Arabidopsis thaliana: one gene and its partner. The protein of the gene in region 1 interacts with the protein of each later gene in a pairwise test. Each region holds a gene or a part of one and is shown on either strand. Other genes may lie near its edges.

Region 1 (3,553 bases):
ACATCTGAAACCCTAATATGTTTCCTTGTATCATACGAAGCCCTAAGGTTTTCATTTATCAAATCAAACTGTGGAGTTGACTTACCACTATCATCTAATACATTTCCGTCCCCACGGCATCAGACCACGACGATCCTGAAGGTGAAGCTGTGGCGGCTCTCTTCCGTGATTTTGATCTTGCATTGCTTTCTTCTTCGTCTTTGTCGCTTACATTTCTGGATTGAAGGGTTTGGTTGACGTTAAGTAGCAGAACATGACGACTCAATCGAGCCCATTCACGGTCCTTTGAACGGAGCTCATTGACTATTTCCTCTGCCGTTGATCCCTTCTCAGATGACTGGAGAACTAGGTTTTGAAATCTCCGATTTGAAACGCCGCCGCTCCGACCTCTTTTCACCATCGTCGACTTTGGTATTTGTCAAATTATTTAGGTTAAATTTTCGTAGTTATATCTTGACAAGTTCACAATCCATCTTTTGCCGCGTAATTCATATTGGGCTACAATAAAGCCCAATAATAAAGTTTAGTCACAGCTCGTTTGCACAAACCAAAAGACATAGCGATGCGCCGTTGCAGACCAGCTAACATGACATTCATGTAATATATATGCACAATGTATAAAGTATTAAAGTATGAACCACTAAACACAACAATTAAACTCCTTTTCTTTAGCTAAATAAATTGATCATCTATAGTTTATTGGTCATCGTCTTTTGGTCTAAAGCAAAATTCATACGGCGACTATTAATTTTGAAAACAATTTTGGATTTTAACATGAATACCCCAATCAGCAAAACAATAAATAGAAAAATAGAATATGAATGGGATGGGTTTTAGGTCGTGCATGTGCATACATAATTGCAATGGCAGGAATATTAATTGAGGAAGCCTTAATTGGCTATGGTACTGTCCTTAGTCCTTCACGTTTGCATTATATTGTCCTTTTCACCAACGCATCGATAAGCTACCCTTTTTGGTTACTAATCATCGATAGATATAGTCTCAGGCTCTTAGCTTTTCGATGTTTAAACTGAAATTACAAACAAGTACGTCACGGCTAGCATTAGCGTTTGCATAATTAGTTACGTTCAAAACTGGAAAAAAAAAAAATAGTACATCACATTATATTCCTGTTTCTAGTTTTTTTTTTAAAACGCTAGTTTTGTTATTTTGAAATTGTAATGAAGTAAGGCATGCAAATACATTCCGACAATATATAATCAAGTATATTTAATTAGAGTTTTTTGTGTGGCCCGAAAGGTAGTTAGAAAAGTTTACAACTTTGAATCCATGTTGAAAGTTAGATACAGCCTCTATTGCGACTAATGTGTGCCATTAATTTGCATTCATCGGAGTTTTATAACATTTTATATTTGCCATCTTTTTCAAGCTAAACCTGATGAACCAAGAGTTGTTGTTTTTTTATAAAGACCTAGAGTCGTTTCTCTACAACATTTTCTCTAATCTTCAACCAAAATAATATTTGACTTGGACAATAGATGTTATCAAACAAAACAAAAAACCTCGACAAATAATTTGTATTGTATATCTACATAATTTAAACATATATACAACTTATTGACAAAATTTGTTTTAACAAGGTACAACAAATATTTATTCTGTAGCAGACACATTCTTCATATATCGAGACAAACACATCTTACTTTACCCCACGCCTCAAAATCACCTCTTCCTGTATACATTGCATAGATGTACAATAGTATTTGTAAAAGGATATATGTACACTAGCTAAAAATAGTTGTATATACATTTTATATATTGATGTTACAAGAACCAGCCCTAAGATGGAGAATTTAGTGGCTCCAACCACGCATACAAATAAAAATGGTCTAACAATTTTGGATTATTAACGAACAAAATTCTGATTTCAGGTTTAAAACCTCCACCTAATTGGTCTTATATAGACTCTTATGTAATAAACAACACCAAAATAAACTATTTTTTCTTCCAAACCTTAAACAAAAAAACATTGACCCGGTCCAAAACTAGGATCTGTCTAGTGAATCTTAGACGGTTAGACCCATCACAAGACTCTAATATTATAAAGTAGTATATAAATTTATTTATAAAACTCTATATATTTAGTGTAACCATCCATAAATACCCCAAAACCATAACTCAGCATACCCTTCTTCACTATCTCCTCACTCCTCTAGCAAACCACAACAAAAACATAGAAGATAACAAAGAAAACCCCATTTCCCAAGGGAATGGCGATTATAAACCGGAGCAAGCTGACACAAACGACTATGATAAAGCAAATCTTGAAGAGGTGTTCAAGTTTGGGAAAGAAACAGAGCAGTGAGTATAACGATACACATGAACATGATGGAGACTCTCTTCCTCTGGATGTTCCCAAAGGTCACTTCGTGGTCTACGTAGGAGGGAATCGGGTCAGGTACGTCTTACCCATTTCGTTTTTGACCCGACCCGAGTTTCAGCTTCTTCTACAACAAGCTGAGGAAGAGTTTGGCTTCGATCACAACATGGGTCTCACTATCCCTTGTGAGGAAGTAGCTTTCAAATCTCTCATCACCTCTATGCTTCAGCCAACATATATTTAGTGTTTTATTCTTGAGGATAAAGATCTGTTTTAGGTAGCCTTTAAAATTTTAGGTGATTTTGGGGTACAATGGGGGTAAGTGTTTCTATTAGAACGAGACTAACTCTAGAGATGCCTCTAAGAGTGATCTATAAAACCAGTTTGGTTATATTAATTATCTTAGATTTGTAGGGAGGAAAATAAGCAAATACTCTGATAATTTTTCTCGTTGTGGTGGTGTGATTATCTGTACAACCCATTGAGGGACTATTATATAATATCAGTGATGAATGCTATTTTTCTTCTTATAATTTGGTTTTGTCCATTTTCTATCATATATATTCTTGCATATATGATATACTCCATTCAAGGAGTTTAATATAATGTAAATCTGTACATAGTTTAACCAAGTTAAAAGCATGTATAATTTGATCCAAAAAAACTATATTTGTTTCCATTTGAAGAAATGGAAACTCATTTCATTCACACGAGTGGAATTCGCGTTGCATATAGTATGATATCGATTTAGTTTGCTCGCAAAACTTGTTTTACTTTTTGAAGTTTTTAAAAAAGTACGTTACTGTGCGACATCGTCCAAACAAGGAATCCCAAGGCGAAGGATGCCTTCTTTTGGAATCGGCAGTTTTTTAGCCGTTAAAAGTTAAAACTGTTGAACTAATAAATAAATAGTTAAGAAAGCATCGAAATGCTGATTCCAGGATAATGACAAAAAAAATTGACACTATGCATAAACACACACATGCAGAAGCAGGAAAATATAATTTTATTATTCACAATTCTCATGCCCGTTTTCTGGCCTTTCCCTTTATTCACTACAGAAATGCGCTTAGTTGGTAAAAAGAAGACATCTCTGCCATGAAAATAATGTATTTGGCATTGGTAGTAACGTCTGGAATAAAAGTTCTAAAACGATTCCACGAGTTGCTCCAATTTCACCACTTACCAGGGAATAACCAAATCATGATAATT
Region 2 (4,114 bases), about 23 Mb from region 1:
CTGTGAGGAAAGGAACCATCCCTGTGTATGAATATCAATTGCTGGAATCTGCAACAAACAAGTTTAGTGATAGTAATGTGTTGAGCCGAGGTGGTCGTGGATGCCTTTACAGAGCTTGTCTCGATGAAAAATCCTCAGTCACTGTGAAGAAACTTGATGGCGGTGGGGAGACAGACATTGAAAAACAGTTTGAGGTTTGACCCCTAAGATGATTATACAGAATCGCACCATCTCATTCGATAAACCATAACTCGGTTTTTTGCTTTCTCTTGTTGATTTTCTAATGCAGACTGAAGTAGATTGGTTGGCTAAGATCAGGCATCAGAACATAGTTTCCTTATTGGGGTTTTGCGTATATCGGCAAACGAGTTGTATTGTGTATGAGTTGATGCAGAATGGATCTTTGGAGAGTCAGTTACATGGTAAGGGGATATGATCCATGTTTGTTCCATCTTTTGTCATCTGATTTTGATTTTGTTGTGCTTTTGAATGCTCTAAGGGCCTAGTCAAGGTTCAGGTTTAACTTGGCAGCTCAGGATGAAGATAGCGGTTGATATAGCGAGGTAAAGTCCATTCATTGATAATACTTTCAAACATTTAGTAGTTCCATGTGATCTCCAAGAACATATATTTGTATGCTTACAAAGTATTCTTTTTTCATAAAGAGGATTAGAGTATCTTCACGAGCATTGCCATCCTCCTGTAGTTCACAGAGATTTGAAATCATCTAGCATCCTTCTGGACTCCGATTTCAATGCAAAGGTAAAAGAGAAAATGATATAATGTAGAAAATTCTTCTTAGACTTATTGTATTCTCCATACAATATGAGTCTTAAGGATCTGTTGCCACATTTGCTTCTCTTTAGATATCCGATTTTGGGTTTGCCACGGTTTTGACCACGCAGAATAAAAACCTGATACACAAGGCTTCTGAGGATCTTCTTGATGGTAAGGAGTTAATCTTTTTTCGGGGTTCGATCTTGACATATATGCCAAACGAGATGCTCAAATTTCGACCATTCTGTAATCATCTTTCAGGGAAAGTTACAGACAAGAATGATGTCTACTCATTTGGAGTGATCCTGCTCGAACTTCTCCTCGGGAAGAAATCAGTGGAGAAACCGTCTTCTGAACCAGAATCCATCGTTACTTGGGTACATAATAAAACTTTCACGAGATAGTGGCTTCGTTTAGCAGGAAATCCTCTGACTTGTGATCTTTGTTGATCATCAGGCAGTACCTAAGCTGAGTGATAGAGCTAATCTACCAAACATATTGGATCCTGCAATCAAAGGAACCATGGATTTGAAGCATCTATATCAGGTAAAAAAGCTTCAACAAAATCTCACACAGATTTTACGAAAAACACATTAGCCAAATATAGAAGGAAAAAGATTCCTCTTTGAACTTTGTGTTATATTTTCTTTGGACAGGTAGCTGCGGTGGCGGTGTTGTGTGTACAGCCGGAGCCAAGTTACAGACCACTTATAACCGATGTCTTGCACTCACTCATCCCTCTTCTACCAGTAGAACTCGGTGGATCATTGCGGATTTTATAAAAAAACATTTCCCCTTTCTTTTTTTTTTTCTTGTAACAGATCAATGCGTTTATGAATTTGTCTCTTATGTTGGTTCTTCCGGAGAATTTATTGTTGTATGTTTAATCACTGCTACAAAAAATTCGGAAGTTTTGCTTAAATGGAACCGAGAGACAAGTTAGTAGAGTTTGGTTAGTAAAAGTTAAAGGTTTAAAAGCTTTAACATATAAATAAATAAAAACGTTGACTTTTTATAACAGAGTTTGTTGTTGTGGGGAAATGAATTAATTAATGAACCTTATCCGTTTTGTCGATGATCGATAAAATTTTCAATTTCTCGATTCCCAAAGAAAGATATCTGGGAATTAGACAAGGAGTAGTAATATGAAAGATGGAGGATCAGGAAACGAAGCGGATAACCAAAAAACCGTCAAGATCGATCATCATCAGTCTCAAAGATATTCCTCCTCTCGACCCTTCTTCTATTCCCTCTATGGTAAATATTCATTCACTCCAACCATATTCTCTTCTTTCTCGCTAACAAAAAAATTGATCATCTGGGTTTGAAACAGAGAACAATCTCTGCGTTTTCTATTTGTAGATGATTCTTCTTCTGTGATTTGGCTATATCATGGGTTAATAGTAATAAATATCTCAACTTTGCTTCTGTCAATTGTTAGAAACCAATGGCGCAAGATCATCATAATGTGGGAATGCAGAGATTCCAAGAGAAGACTGACTTCAAGTTTGAAGAAGAAGACAATGCCATTTCTTCCTTCTCTAACATTCAAATTGATCCTAACAGCACAAGAAGCATTTCACTAGAGAAGAAGCTTGCTCCTAAACCAGATGAAGAACACACCACCACCACCAAACCCATATCTAAAGGTTCATTCATTTTTTCTTCACCTCTTTTGCTAATTATGATGTAAACTTGTTCGGAAACCAACAGAGATTGCAATTTTTGGTATAGAAGATAGAATTTTGGTCATTTTGTTCTGAAATTTGTGTTCCAGATGATGAATCTAAGACTAGGAGAGGCTCAGCTAAATCGGTGTTACACGAAATGTGTGCTTCCAAGCGTTGGAGACCTCCTGTTTATGAATGCTGCAATGTTGATGGACCTTGCCATTTGAGATTGTAAGTAAACATCTTCTAACCTGCACTTGCTTTTATTTTTTGAGTCGCAATCTTTTTTGCATCAACTTGGTTTTTTGGTTCAGATTTACATACAAAGTTATGGTTGAGATTAGAGATTCTTCAGGGAAAACTGTTTTGGAGTGTTTTGGGGATCCCAGACGCAAAAAGAAAGCTGCTGCTGAGCATGCAGCAGAAGGAGCGCTTTGGTATCTTGAGCATGTGAAGACAAAGCCGCATCAGTAAATCATCATTTAGTCGATATGAAGTAGCTGGAGAGTTTAGTAAAGCCATCTATAGTTAGTTCTAACGAGGGAAGCTTGAACCATATTATACCTATCTTTTAATTCATTATAGCTCTATGGGTTGTAACAGTTTTGATCTGTATCAGAACTTTTCTTTCAAACTTTGTGCCATTATATTTCTCCTTAGTAAGGAGCCTTTATCTTTATCTTTATGTTTATGGAATAGAAGAGCTCAAGTCATCCAAGTTAGAGAAAGCTTTGGAGACTTTGTCTGGTTAGACTGAAGGAGGGAATTCAGTTCAGTGAGATTTGAAACACTGATTTTTCTCATTTGCAACTAAGATTTGAGCATTCTTTTTTTTTTTGGTTTTGTTGCATTCTCTCTTGCGCGGACAGAGACTAGAAGAAACTTACTCAAGAATTCTAAGTAATTGTAAGATCTTATTACTCTTGTAAAAAAGGAAAAAACAAGAATATCTCAAAAATATAAAAAAAGAAGAAGCCACATCCACTGCTAACAAAAGAAACAATTTTCTTTTTGCAGCATTCTCTAATTATGGAAGTGGTTATTTATTCAATACTCTTGTGGGGTTCTAAAACTAAACTGAGAAACACTTGTTTCTGAAATCACAGGGTATAGTGTTGCTGGATAGCCTCAATGTCTAGTCCCTTCTGCTTCACTACTGATTCCACGTGACCTTTCAAGGTGTGACGTTCCCTTAACCTGAAATTTACAAGACAAGAAATGTTTGTAAGCCCATTTTCTGAGGAACCTAATGGTATGGAATAATCAGTTACTTGAGCGTTGCCTTGCAACTTCAGCTCGTCTCTTGGCTTGATCAGCTATCTCTGAAAGCTCTCTGTAAGTGCTCTTGTCATTGAACATATCTGAGGTTTGAGCTGGCTGCAATCCGTGAAGTGTACGTTGCGCTTGTGCCCATTGTGCTTCTCTCTCTCCCTTTCCGTAGTCTTTCTTTGACGTGAAAGCGGTCTGAACAGAGGAACAAAGGTTAGGAAAAAGGATTATACTACTGTGTTCTTGTTCTCATCAGTATTGGCCTGAGAAGCAAACCTTGTTCTCAATGACATTATCCCATGCTCTTCCACTCAGTGAATATCTGATGATGAACTTGAGGATATCCAATGGGATGTAGAAGACTATACTATAGAGCCAGATAACTCCTGCCCATCCCC

The links.
Region 2: the proteins of AT1G19830 (region 1) and RTL1 interact in a two-hybrid assay, tested with the Arabidopsis thaliana proteins (one large-scale study listed by BioGRID).

What each region holds. Positions count from the first base shown.
Region 1 is NC_003070.9:6,849,999-6,853,551, forward strand, and holds AT1G19830 (SAUR-like auxin-responsive protein family), read left to right. Parts: upstream 1-2,117; 5' UTR 2,118-2,231; coding exon 2,232-2,585; 3' UTR 2,586-2,947; downstream 2,948-3,553. UniProt on the Arabidopsis thaliana protein: Provide a mechanistic link between auxin and plasma membrane H(+)-ATPases (PM H(+)-ATPases, e.g.
Region 2 is NC_003070.9:30,312,680-30,316,793, forward strand, and holds RTL1 (RNAse THREE-like protein 1), read left to right. Parts: upstream 1-1,842; 5' UTR 1,843-1,929; coding exon 1,930-2,034; intron 2,035-2,218; coding exon 2,219-2,426; intron 2,427-2,554; coding exon 2,555-2,678; coding exon of another isoform or gene 2,679-2,682; exon of another isoform or gene 2,683-2,761; coding exon 2,762-2,921; 3' UTR 2,922-3,323; downstream 3,324-4,114. Other genes in the region: AT1G80640 (Protein kinase superfamily protein), read left to right, coding at 1-194, 290-422, 500-563, 666-762, 867-948, 1,039-1,154, 1,234-1,323, 1,434-1,559; HA9 (H[+]-ATPase 9), read right to left, coding at 3,548-3,644, 3,730-3,911, 3,993-4,114.